Linked DNA regions of Daphnia pulex. Each later gene encodes a partner of the first gene's protein in a complex. Links are inferred from orthologs where the notes say so. Each region holds a gene or a part of one and is shown in the gene's direction. Other genes may lie near its edges.

Region 1 (2,978 bases):
AATGGCTTTGTTGGGATTCAAAAAATCTCAAGAGTCTTACGGTAAGTTTGAAAACATCTAAATTTCCCATTTTTCCAAATTGAAATAATACTGATTAAACAATTCCATAGCGACTTTGCCGTGCAAGAGCTTGGTTGAACTCTTCCTATCCTTGGATGGAGGTCAAGCTGTACGAGAAATGGTCCTGCAGGAAGAAGATGCTGCTGAATGGACGTCCTCTTGGTTAGATGTTTTCCCACACTTTATGAAAGCCATTGGCCAGCTGCTTTGGCCCATTGGAAATCACATGACTTTCATGGAATTTCTGATGGAACGCTTCCAACCCTTGGCCGTACAGGGATACGTCCGCCTGCAACAGAACTGGTTTGTAAATATTGTACTTCAATATTAGATGCGTTTATTGATTTTTTTAAATGCAAATTCCGCCCAGGTGTGAATGGAATACGTGCTCTCGAAAATTTCTGATGGCTGTCGCACTTGTGGCTACCGGTGAAGGAGATAAAGCCAGTAAGTGGATGCTTGAAGCTGCTGAAGGAATCATCAAAGAACAACTTCTTCACTCGATTGTCACAAAGGGAGCGAATGAAAGTGGTGACGCTGGAAGTCGTGCTGATCCGGTGATGCGCTTTCATCTCATATGCGTCCAATTGTTAGAGCAGGCGGGACTATGCAGTGCTGCTCTTCGTGTGGCTCTTGTAGCCCTAAACAGTAGTAAAACGGACGACCCCCTTTTGCCTACAATATGGTCGATTGTTGCCAAGCTTCATTTGAACTTGGGCCACTATCAGGTAATAAATCAAACGCATTTTATCAGATTTCACGCCCTTACGTATCCATTCACTGCTAATAGGAAGCATACGAAGCCATCGTAAATAATCCGGATAGCAGTCAGCGACCTGAAACTCTTGGACGTCTGGTCAATATTTTGCTGGAACGCAAGCAGATGGATATTCTTTTAACTTTCCCTTACGCCGGATTGGAATCAGAATTGGAAAAAATTGTGGAGAGAAGGGCTCGCTCATCAGATGTTCTATCTATGACGCTTTATTACTCCTTTCTCTATGCATTTCACGTCCGCCAGGGTAAAATGCGCAAAGCTGCCGCTGTGATGCACGAACAGGTAATGTGTACTATCAACCACTTTAGGCCTTGGATCACCGTTACTGATGTAATTTGTTTCATTAAAGGCACTTCGATATGGATGTGAAGGAGAGTCAGCCAAAATGGTCAAATGTCTTTTGGCTTGTCTCAACGCCCTGCGCCTAGTCTCTAGACAGGAAGCCTGGTTGGTTAAACCAGTAACTACGTTGAATCGTAAGGATTCATCAGAACCGTTTAGACATACGGTTGACGTCATCGAGTATGCTGATATTGAAAAAGAATATGAACTCAGCTACGCTTGTATCAATCTTGGACAGTCAATCACATCTCTTTCTCCTTCGGACGTGGTAGCGCTTTTGACTTCACGCAACCGCTACGAATCGGCACTGCGCATTGCCAGGATCTTTGACGTCAAAGGTATTTTTTATTATTGTTATTACCTTGTCAGAAGTACATTAAGCATGTTTTTCTGCTTGTGTGACTTAAGATACGTCTCCGGTCGTGGAACACTTGGCCGCCAATTGCGTGGCCCTATCGAGAGAACGGGCCAACGAGGATGAAGCCTGGATTTGGTTGTCTCTGAATCAATCGTCTGGAGTAGGCAAGGCTTCAGAGCAAGCCTGGCGGTTATTAGAGAGGATCCTACCAAAAGCAGAAGGAGGGGACAAGCAAACCCGCTGTCATCGTGCAGCGGCCAAAAAAATCCTCGGTTTAGATTGCACCTTGCCTTATTGGTTGGCCGCCAGCTACAAATTGAGGAATCCAGGAGAACTTATCAGCATCTATCATCAAGCAGGGCTTTTAGAAGATGCAGCTCAGGTATTTATAGTTTTTATTGGAATTATTTTAAATAAATATAGATTTAACGGATTCTTTGCCTGACTTTTAATAGGTAGCTCTAGAATTGATGGATGCGATGCTGGGAAAAGGGAAGGAGTACTTTGGATTCGACAGCAACCCGCTCCAGATCAACGCACCTCCTGTATGGATGCCTTACACAGTTTTCGATCGTTTAATCATGGAATTGGAAGCCAACTGTAATGATTCTACCTATAAATCGGTAAATGCTTGTTTGTTTATTTTTTTCTTCTACCTATTATTTATTGAATGTTAATTCATTTTTATGTTTTGACTTTCAGTTACTGAATGACATGAAAGGCAAATTGCACGCTTACTTCCAAACAGCTGAACGTGTTAGTCGCTCTTTTGTCGAGTTATCCATGTCTTAGCTTTCTTTCTTTTTTTATTAATAAAACCCTGAATTTTGTATTACCATTTCAACTGTGTAATAAATACTGAGATTTCCTCGACTTGGAAAGAATGAAAAAAAATTAACAGTAATTTTCCTTGTAAATATTTTGCGGAAGGTTGTCAGCAAACAAACATTTGTTTGTTTCCTCGACCATGACGCTGACGCAAAAGAATTGGACAGATTTTGTTATTTCACTCAAATTGTAAGTTGAACAACGTCATTTTTTTTACATCCAGTTTTGTATGGTTAGTCCTCAGTCATTTAATCAATTAATCAAATATTTCACCTGATTTTAAAAAGAAATTGTTGGTTTGAATCATTATTAGCGTAGCCTCTTATTAATTTCTATAAAAGATGAATTCAAAATTAATGACAATATCATAGACATTTTATCAAATGCAAAAGTAGTTTGACTAATGTGATTTTTAAAATCTGTGAGATTCTAACGGTTAATGGTTAACCTAACTGTTCCCTTGAGAAAGTAGGCGATTAAGTATGGCGACCTGGAAGTGTCTCGACCCGGAAGACCTTGTCCGTATGTCCCGTATAGCGGAGGGGTAGCAGGTCAGAATTTTTTACTATTTGGAACGAGGTACCGTTTAAGTGTGGTAAAACATATAAACCA
Region 2 (3,756 bases), on another chromosome or scaffold:
GAACTACCAAGTAAATATCATATCCTGGCTTCTTGCTATAATTGATACAAATAAAGAAATAAAAGTTTTAAATAAACGATTAGTCAGAGTTTACTAGCAGTAATCTTTTTTCTCCCTGCGTCGCTTAAAAATGAATTTATGCGCTACGGCCGTATGGCGTCGCTGTGTCGCTGTTTCTGAATCTGATCAAATTAAACCAATAATTGTTTATTTGAATAGAAAATTTAAAAAAAAATAATTCCATCTTTTGCGGACTGATAAAGAAAAGGGATCGAGATGAATGAACTACACACAGGTTGGGATGAGGAAGTGAGTCGGATCTAAAGTTTGTCCTAGTTGGATATTCTTTGTCTAATTATGCTAGACTAAGGTTACATGAATTATCATCCAATTGAATCTCTTGAAAAATAATAATGTCCAATCGAGCCAGATTTGAGCAGACCGACCAGAATGTGTAGCCTAATAGATAAGGTGCCAGTTTATCTTACTTATAGATGTTAAGTTATTTAGAAGTTAAGTTAAGTTAATTTTGTTTGTTAATTAGTTCAAAGAGAGACTATTTGCCGTATAAAGAGACCGTGCACCACGATCAGATTTATCGTATATTATATAGTCCCTATTTGTAAATTTATTCCTCGAATATGATTCGTTTGATCGAATGTTTATTGTTTAATCGTTTTGAACAGGGTTTTCAATGAACCAAGTTGATGAAAATATTGTATCTTGCAATTTGGTTGACGTATCACGTAAGCCTTCCCTTTTGAATATCTTAACTCCACTATAGCCCCAAAAGTGATCAGAATTGGAAACACTACCCCTCAGCCCCTACCCTTTCAAAAAAAAGAACCGCGAGTTATTACAATTTAAAAAAATTCAAATTGCTTTGATAGATGGCGTTCACTTGTCACAAGCAGACAGGCAGTGAGGCACTCAAACAGTTAGACATTTCATAAAATTTCGACCGGCTTTGGCTTTGCAACAAAATAAGGTTGAAAGTGCGGTGTGATTTTCTATCCGAATATTACATTGATTATTGAAACTGATAATGGCAAACGTTCCTGATCCTGTTGAAGTCTTGGTAATTTTAAAATACATTTTTTTATTGTTTTCTTTCAATTCAACCAATCTAACTTGTAACAACAGGACTTCAAAATGAAACAGCTGTGTAAGTTTAGAGTCACTAAAAAGGAATATGATGTACAGGACACCACATCATTGCTGGCTACTTCTAATTTGTTTGGTCTGATCTTTGTTGGGACACCTGACAAACTTGTTGTCATCAAAGTTTCAGATCTTATACAAATTGACAATACAACATCAAAAAAATCAGAAATATCATCATTTCCCATCAAGGAAATTCTTTTACCCAACAAACCTAGTTTTGTAACACTGAGCTCTGATAATCTTACCTTAATGGTGTGCCTTCAAAAATCTGGATGCTCAGTAGGTTGGATGTATGATGTTCGTGGATTTGCAAGACAGGTATGATTTAAGGAATTTCATTTTGTGTGATTGAAACAGATTTAAAATCTTTTTCAGTCAGGTGAATGGAATCCCTTCCAGGAAGTCAGGCTTTCGTCTACTGATGGAGTTACTGTGAAAGATTGTGCGTGGAACCCTGTTATACCAACTCTAGTAGCTGTCTGTCTTAGTGATGGCTCTTTAGTTGCAGTGGAGATCAACAACACTCAATTCACTATAAATAGCCTTCCATCAAGTACAGGAGCCCAGTATGTGAATATCCTATTTTGTATGTATGTTATTTTCTTAATTTTATTGAATTATTAGGTCAGTCTGTTGGAGTCCCAAAGGAAAACAGCTAGTTGTGGCCAGGCCTAGTAAACTAGTTCAGTATAAGCCTGATTTAAAGGAAGCCAAGACTATAGCGTTTAGTGGTAGCGATGTCCATATGACTCAGCCAATGGTTTGTGGACTTCAGTGGCTTTCTACAACTCAGTTCCTTGTAACGTTTGTTGATCAAAATGAACCCAATTCTCGTCCCCACCTCTACATAGTCAACGTACAAAAATCGGGGGCAACAACTTTCATAGATTATGACGATGTTTGCTACGGAAGTCCGTCTGAAAGACCACACAGGTATACGAATTTTTTTCATTTTATTATCAATATAATGAATTTTGTTTCTTTTTTAGTTATCTAACATTGAGTTTATCCCCATGGAATGTGTTATTGGCTTGTTCAGCTAACGCAATAGAAGTTGCCGTACTAGCTCAAACAGGAGCTGGAGATGCTGATCACCCTGAATGGAGGCAATGGGCACTAGAAGGTGAATGGCGAGCTGAACTACCATTAAATGAGAATGCTGAGACTAACCCGTTGGGAATGGCCATCGATACCACTAGCCAAATTCCAATCAGTTGGGATGACAATCAAACTTTACCGCCCGCACCCATTCTTTTCATACTCAGCACTCATGGTCTGCTTTGCCCGTTTCATGTTATCAATCTAAAGAACGGTGCTGCCAAATTCAATCAGGCTCCTCAAGAATTGTCGGTCACTGGTGAGAGACCAGCGCTTAGTGGAATTGGTCTCAAGGCGGCTCCATTAGCAGCTTCCACTCCATTACCTGCTGCTGGTAAAATTGCATTTCCTAGAACAAATCTTGGAGAACGATTTGCTGCATTTGCGGATGCTCCTTCCTTAGCAGTCCCAGTTACAACGAAATTACCTTCAAATCCGCCTATTTCGGACTCGTTTTTGGGCAACAAACCCCAACTTCAACCTGCCTTACCTTCAGTGACGAAAGTTGCAACTGCACCTGTTGTACCAGCTGTGAAGATAGAAGCGGTTCCGGTTGTCCCGAAAGCTACTCCACTTACTGTCAAACTTACAAGTCAAACTCCAATCGCAGATGAATCTAACATCCATTCATCCATGGGCGCTGCCGCTGCAATATTACGTGACGAAGTGGCCAAATTCGTTCAAGACTTGAAGGAATTCAAAGCTCGTTCGTTGACTTTGAAAGTTACGATCGCGAGTGATGAGGAGAAAGAACGATTGTTAAAGATGACATCCGATCTGGCTGAGTTTGGTGTGGATCTGGTCGATACTACCAAAGTGCAAGACGAAGAAGTTCGAGGCTTGTGCACTGATTTGGTAGAAGTTGCCGCCCTTTTGGAAGATGCCCGTGTTCGACGTGCTCGTCGCAAAAATTCTCATTTCTGTCATTTGCTCAAGTTACGGCCTCTAGATCCAGGCAATCGCAGAAAAATGGACGGCATTGAGCGCTTGCACGTTCACATAGAACAGCAGCTTATAGAAGCTTCACGAAGCCTAGATTCGATTAGCAGAGACCGTACTAGAGACACCCGCAAAATTGAAATCCCAATAACTCAGGTAAGCTTGTTTTATTATTATTATTACTCTAAAATATTCAGCATCCTATGATTTATTTCATCTCAGGTTATTTATGAAGCAATTAGAAACAATACGAAAGTAATATCACAGTTAAAATCTCGTGTTGAACGAATTATGGTTCAGAGCAAAGAACAGCAACTGAAACTCGCCGGTGCAGCCTTCGAAGCTTTAAGGTATTTGCCATTCATAAATTCACTTAATTATTGAATTAATTGTGTGTTCTGTAGACCAAAGAGTGGTGATGAGTCAAGAAAATGGGAGTCTGAACTGGCTGTTCTGGCTGATTCTCTTTTGTCGTCAAGTATAAGAGGAGAAGGGGAAACTCAATCACACCATCCTGTGATCCCACAAGTATCACCTGATAAACAAGCAATGTTA
Region 3 (3,756 bases), on another chromosome or scaffold:
CTACCGGAGATGCCGCTGGCAAATCCTGGACCTGTCTTCACTGCACTTTCATCAATATGCCTAATTTATCTTCGTGTGAGATTTGCAATTTGCCACACTAAATTTAAAAATTGTCACCGGCCAATCAAACTGTTAAAAGTGTGCTTAGAGTCAGTGATGTAACTAAGGTGAATTGAATACATGGATGAAGCAAAATTTCAGTAGACTTCAATGTGAATAAAGCAAAGTAAGTAGTTAAATAATTACTATGTATTTTTCTTGAAATTACTAGCTAGTATAAACATTTCAGCTGAATCCTGTCTACTACTAGGTGGTTTCACAACTTTGACTTGAGAATAGTGTAATGCAATCTCATTCTCCAGTTGTTTGATTCTTCCTCCTGCCCATAATTTTATCAATAGCGTAGCTCCGTCCATAGAGATTTGTTGCGCGTAACGCAGCACTGAATATGCTAATTCTAATATCCTATCTTGATCCAAATCTCGTATACCCGATGCTGCAGGAGCCTAAATTTAATTAGCAAATATTAATTGAAATAATTTAAGGTAAAAAAAAACTGAAATAAAATCAGCCCTACCATATCACTTAGGACTGCATTAGCAAGTTGCCCACCAAGTATTTCTGTTATTCTGGTCTGGGACAAACTTTTTGTGAAATCTAATGGAGCCAAGATTACAGCTCCTTCAATTGGGTACCTGAAAGAATAAAATTGAATAATGTTAGTGAACTAAGGGTACCAAAACTTTGCAGCCCTTTTACATTGGTTGAAGATCAACTGCTACATGCTTTCCTTTAAGCTGAGAAGACACTGCATGAAATCCATAAACATTCTAGTGTCATTTTAATTAGGCTAAATAGTTAAACAATTCAATCTACCTTTTCCTGTTGCATTAATTCGTTTTACACATACTTGTGTCCAAGCACCAGGTGCAGCGCCACATTCTACAACCACATCTCCAGGTTTAAGGAATTTGTGTTTGTCATCAATTTCAATCAATTTAAAGGCACTTCTAGCTCTTTCTTGGTTAATAAGAAGTAGTAAATATTAGACAACAATTAAACTGAAGCTATAGCCTGTTAATTGAAAATATTGAAATCATAATTTTTATTTGAAAATTACTACCTATAATTTTCCATTTTGGCTTTAAGAACATACTCGTCATTCATTTGCCGAGTTAGCCATTCTTGAGAACTTTTACTGCGGCCCTTTAGCCGATCGGGCACTTTTTTAAAGCATGTTGAAGACGAACAAAACTGTCTTACTGAACAAACGGCAATGTTCATAGCAAAAACTTTGTTGAAACGGATATTTTAATATGGATCAAATAAATTCTTCAGGTGAAAAGCGATAAACAACTTGAAAGTATTAATGAAACAGCAATATAACATCACCTAATAAGATCAAGTAGACTATGATATTTTGTCAACAAACAAGCAGCCACGAAAATTGAAATTTCCGCTATCGACATTCGGCAGCACAGGTCATAGTTACCGCCGTAACCATGGCCATTGCAGTATGGTGTAAAACCGAAGCAGCAGACGACAGATTAGAAATATTTCAAAAAAGTACTCGTTACGAGTTCTGACTGTTAGTTGAAATCCTTCTGAATCCTACACACAATTACGATTTGTGACGTGATTTTCACGCATTTTACAGAATGCTTGAACCTATTGTAATAATAATTTCGAATTGTTCATGGTATACATATTTGTAACCAAACTTTCTTTGTTTTAGGGAATACAAGATCCTCTATTTGCATACAACAAAGATGTTGGGCATTCTTGGGGTTATGGTAACAGCTTGGCTGTATTTCCAACAGAATTTTCCAAGTCGATCACCTCTGGTAAGTTCTTTCTGGAAGTTAGCCAAAAAACTCCTACTAAGTTTTTCTCAATGACAGGTCCAGTTAGTCCCCAGACTTGTAAGAAGAAGCTTTATACAATTTCTTGGGAGCGAACCTTGTACAATCCTTTTGTTCGCAAGCTGGTCAATGAATCCTGTGGAGCATTTACTTCTTTACAAATTAAGGCTGGCACAGATGGCCAAATCAGCTCATCTGAGTTAATTAAATCCAGTCATCAGTATCGTTGTATAATGAATGCATGCATTGAAGATTTGAACCAAGCAGCAGATCTTGCTAACAGTGTTGAATCTAATCAAGCACTTCAAGAAATGAGTGAAATATTTTACAAAGCTGAGTTGGTGTGGAATTTGTGTGAAATTCTGTATCTTGAGAACCCACTTGGAATTCTGCCACACCTATTAGAATGGATTCGTATTCATTTTCCAAATGCAGTAGAAGAAACTGGTACAGTTTTAGCATCACCAAATCCTGGACTCCATGAAAGCTATTGGAAAGCTCTCTATGGACTAGTGTTTCAGTTACGCTTAGAAAGTGCTACCAAACTGTTAAGAATTCATCCTGATTTCCAGAGTGAAGCTTTTCAGAGTGCATATGAGTTGCTGAAGAAAATGCCAGTCTTTAGTGTAAGAAAGTTCTTGTAATTTAGATAGATTAACAATTTTTCTATCTCCTAAGTATTTCTGTTCTATTTAGGCCAACTCAACTGTTTCTGCTCCAGAGTTTACCTTCAGATGGAATCATTGGAAAGAAGAATGTGAGGCTCGCACTCAAGCTGGAGATTTCTTCGAATCAAAAGATTTAGAACTTCTAATGGAGGTATATAATGTTTTATATATAATGATCTCTTAATTCCCATTTTTATTTTCATTAGTTTATGTTGTATGTCTTTTGTCTAACTTACATAAACTTTCTATTTACTTACGATAAAGATACTATGTGGCAAAGAAGAAGCATTTGAAAAAGTTGGCGATCATTTCGAAACTTGGTATCAACGAATGATTACTCAGTTAACGTTCACGCAACCCACAATTGGAACGTTATCTTTGGGAGATGAAGCCGAACAGTTTTTTGCTTCCTTAATCGGATTAGATGATTTGACGTCACTAGATGCAACACTTTTGGCCGTTCTTCGTCGCGACACGCGTAAAGTGAGTATCGCTGTTATCAATGGATAAGAGTTTTAAGCAAGTTTGATAAGAGTTCATGCAAGTATCAAGACACTACCAACATAATTAACTGGAAACGTTTTATATCTGTTCAAATTTGTTGTCACAGGTGATTGGAGAAATGCAAGGAGTATTGGATAATTCTTGGTTTACGGCACATCTCGCTGATTTATTGTATCACGCCGGAGCACTTCAGTCGTTCGAAGACATTAACTCACTACAGCTGAGAGAAACTTTGCTTCGTGACTACTCGATTTGCTTATTTAGCCACCAATCCTTGTGGTCGGTTGGTGTTCTCTATCTTGACCATTGCCCTAATGTTGGTTCTGCGACTCTGGAACACTTGCTCACTCGACTTCCGTGCCAGTCGGAAATGAAGGCAACCAAAATAATTTCACTTGCCGAGCGAAGAAAACTAACATCAGTGGTAACTTCCGTCTGTCGTGTAATGGGTCGACGGGCCTTGGCCAATGGACGACTTGGTGCGGCAGTCGCTTGGGCTGTTAAGGCGCAAGACGCTCCTCTTGCTACCTATGCCGCCGATGCTGTTCTGAAGAGTTACCTTCAAGATTCAGATTTTACTTCGACGGACTTGCTAGACTCACTGGGTGCTGGACTTCTTGCCAGCGATCGATTGGCTTTCCTTGGGAAATATCGCGAGTTTCATCGTCTTTACAATTCAAACGATTTTCATTCAGCAGCTGGCCTTTTGATCTCTTTAATCT

What was found.
Region 2: nuclear pore complex protein Nup160-like (region 1) and nuclear pore complex protein Nup214-like share a complex: the UniProt entries of both Drosophila melanogaster proteins name them as parts of the nuclear pore complex. The link is inferred for Daphnia pulex from reciprocal best matches to the Drosophila melanogaster genes Nup160 and Nup214.
Region 3: nuclear pore complex protein Nup160-like (region 1) and nuclear pore complex protein Nup85-like share a complex: the UniProt entries of both Drosophila melanogaster proteins name them as parts of the nuclear pore complex. The link is inferred for Daphnia pulex from reciprocal best matches to the Drosophila melanogaster genes Nup160 and Nup75.

What each region holds. Positions count from the first base shown.
Region 1 is NC_060017.1:6,357,144-6,360,121, reverse strand, and holds the end of nuclear pore complex protein Nup160-like, read left to right. Parts: coding exon 1-41; intron 42-110; coding exon 111-363; intron 364-430; coding exon 431-788; intron 789-850; coding exon 851-1,120; intron 1,121-1,187; coding exon 1,188-1,518; intron 1,519-1,588; coding exon 1,589-1,920; intron 1,921-1,993; coding exon 1,994-2,161; intron 2,162-2,240; coding exon 2,241-2,330; 3' UTR 2,331-2,411; downstream 2,412-2,978. UniProt on the Drosophila melanogaster protein: Functions as a component of the nuclear pore complex (NPC). Involved in poly(A)+ RNA transport. Required for nuclear import of Mad. May play a role in double strand break DNA repair. Essential for nephrocyte development.
Region 2 is NC_060027.1:5,448,435-5,452,190, reverse strand, and holds the start of nuclear pore complex protein Nup214-like, read left to right. Parts: upstream 1-893; 5' UTR 894-1,045; coding exon 1,046-1,078; intron 1,079-1,143; coding exon 1,144-1,482; intron 1,483-1,539; coding exon 1,540-1,730; intron 1,731-1,788; coding exon 1,789-2,097; intron 2,098-2,153; coding exon 2,154-3,357; intron 3,358-3,423; coding exon 3,424-3,551; intron 3,552-3,605; coding exon 3,606-3,756. UniProt on the Drosophila melanogaster protein: Part of the nuclear pore complex. Serves as a docking site in the receptor-mediated import of substrates across the nuclear pore complex including emb, RanGAP and phosphorylated Mad. Protects mbo/Nup88 from proteasomal degradation at the nuclear pore.
Region 3 is NC_060023.1:4,665,664-4,669,419, forward strand, and holds the start of nuclear pore complex protein Nup85-like, read left to right. Parts: upstream 1-1,516; 5' UTR 1,517-1,658; coding exon 1,659-1,673; intron 1,674-1,735; coding exon 1,736-1,844; intron 1,845-1,901; coding exon 1,902-2,488; intron 2,489-2,558; coding exon 2,559-2,681; intron 2,682-2,794; coding exon 2,795-3,013; intron 3,014-3,140; coding exon 3,141-3,756. Other genes in the region: nuclear protein localization protein 4 homolog, read left to right, coding at 1-101; rRNA methyltransferase 2, mitochondrial-like, read right to left, coding at 246-506, 578-695, 760-808, 877-1,016, 1,124-1,284. UniProt on the Drosophila melanogaster protein: Component of the nuclear pore complex (NPC) that seems to be required for NPC assembly and maintenance. Required for nuclear import of phosphorylated Mad via importin msk.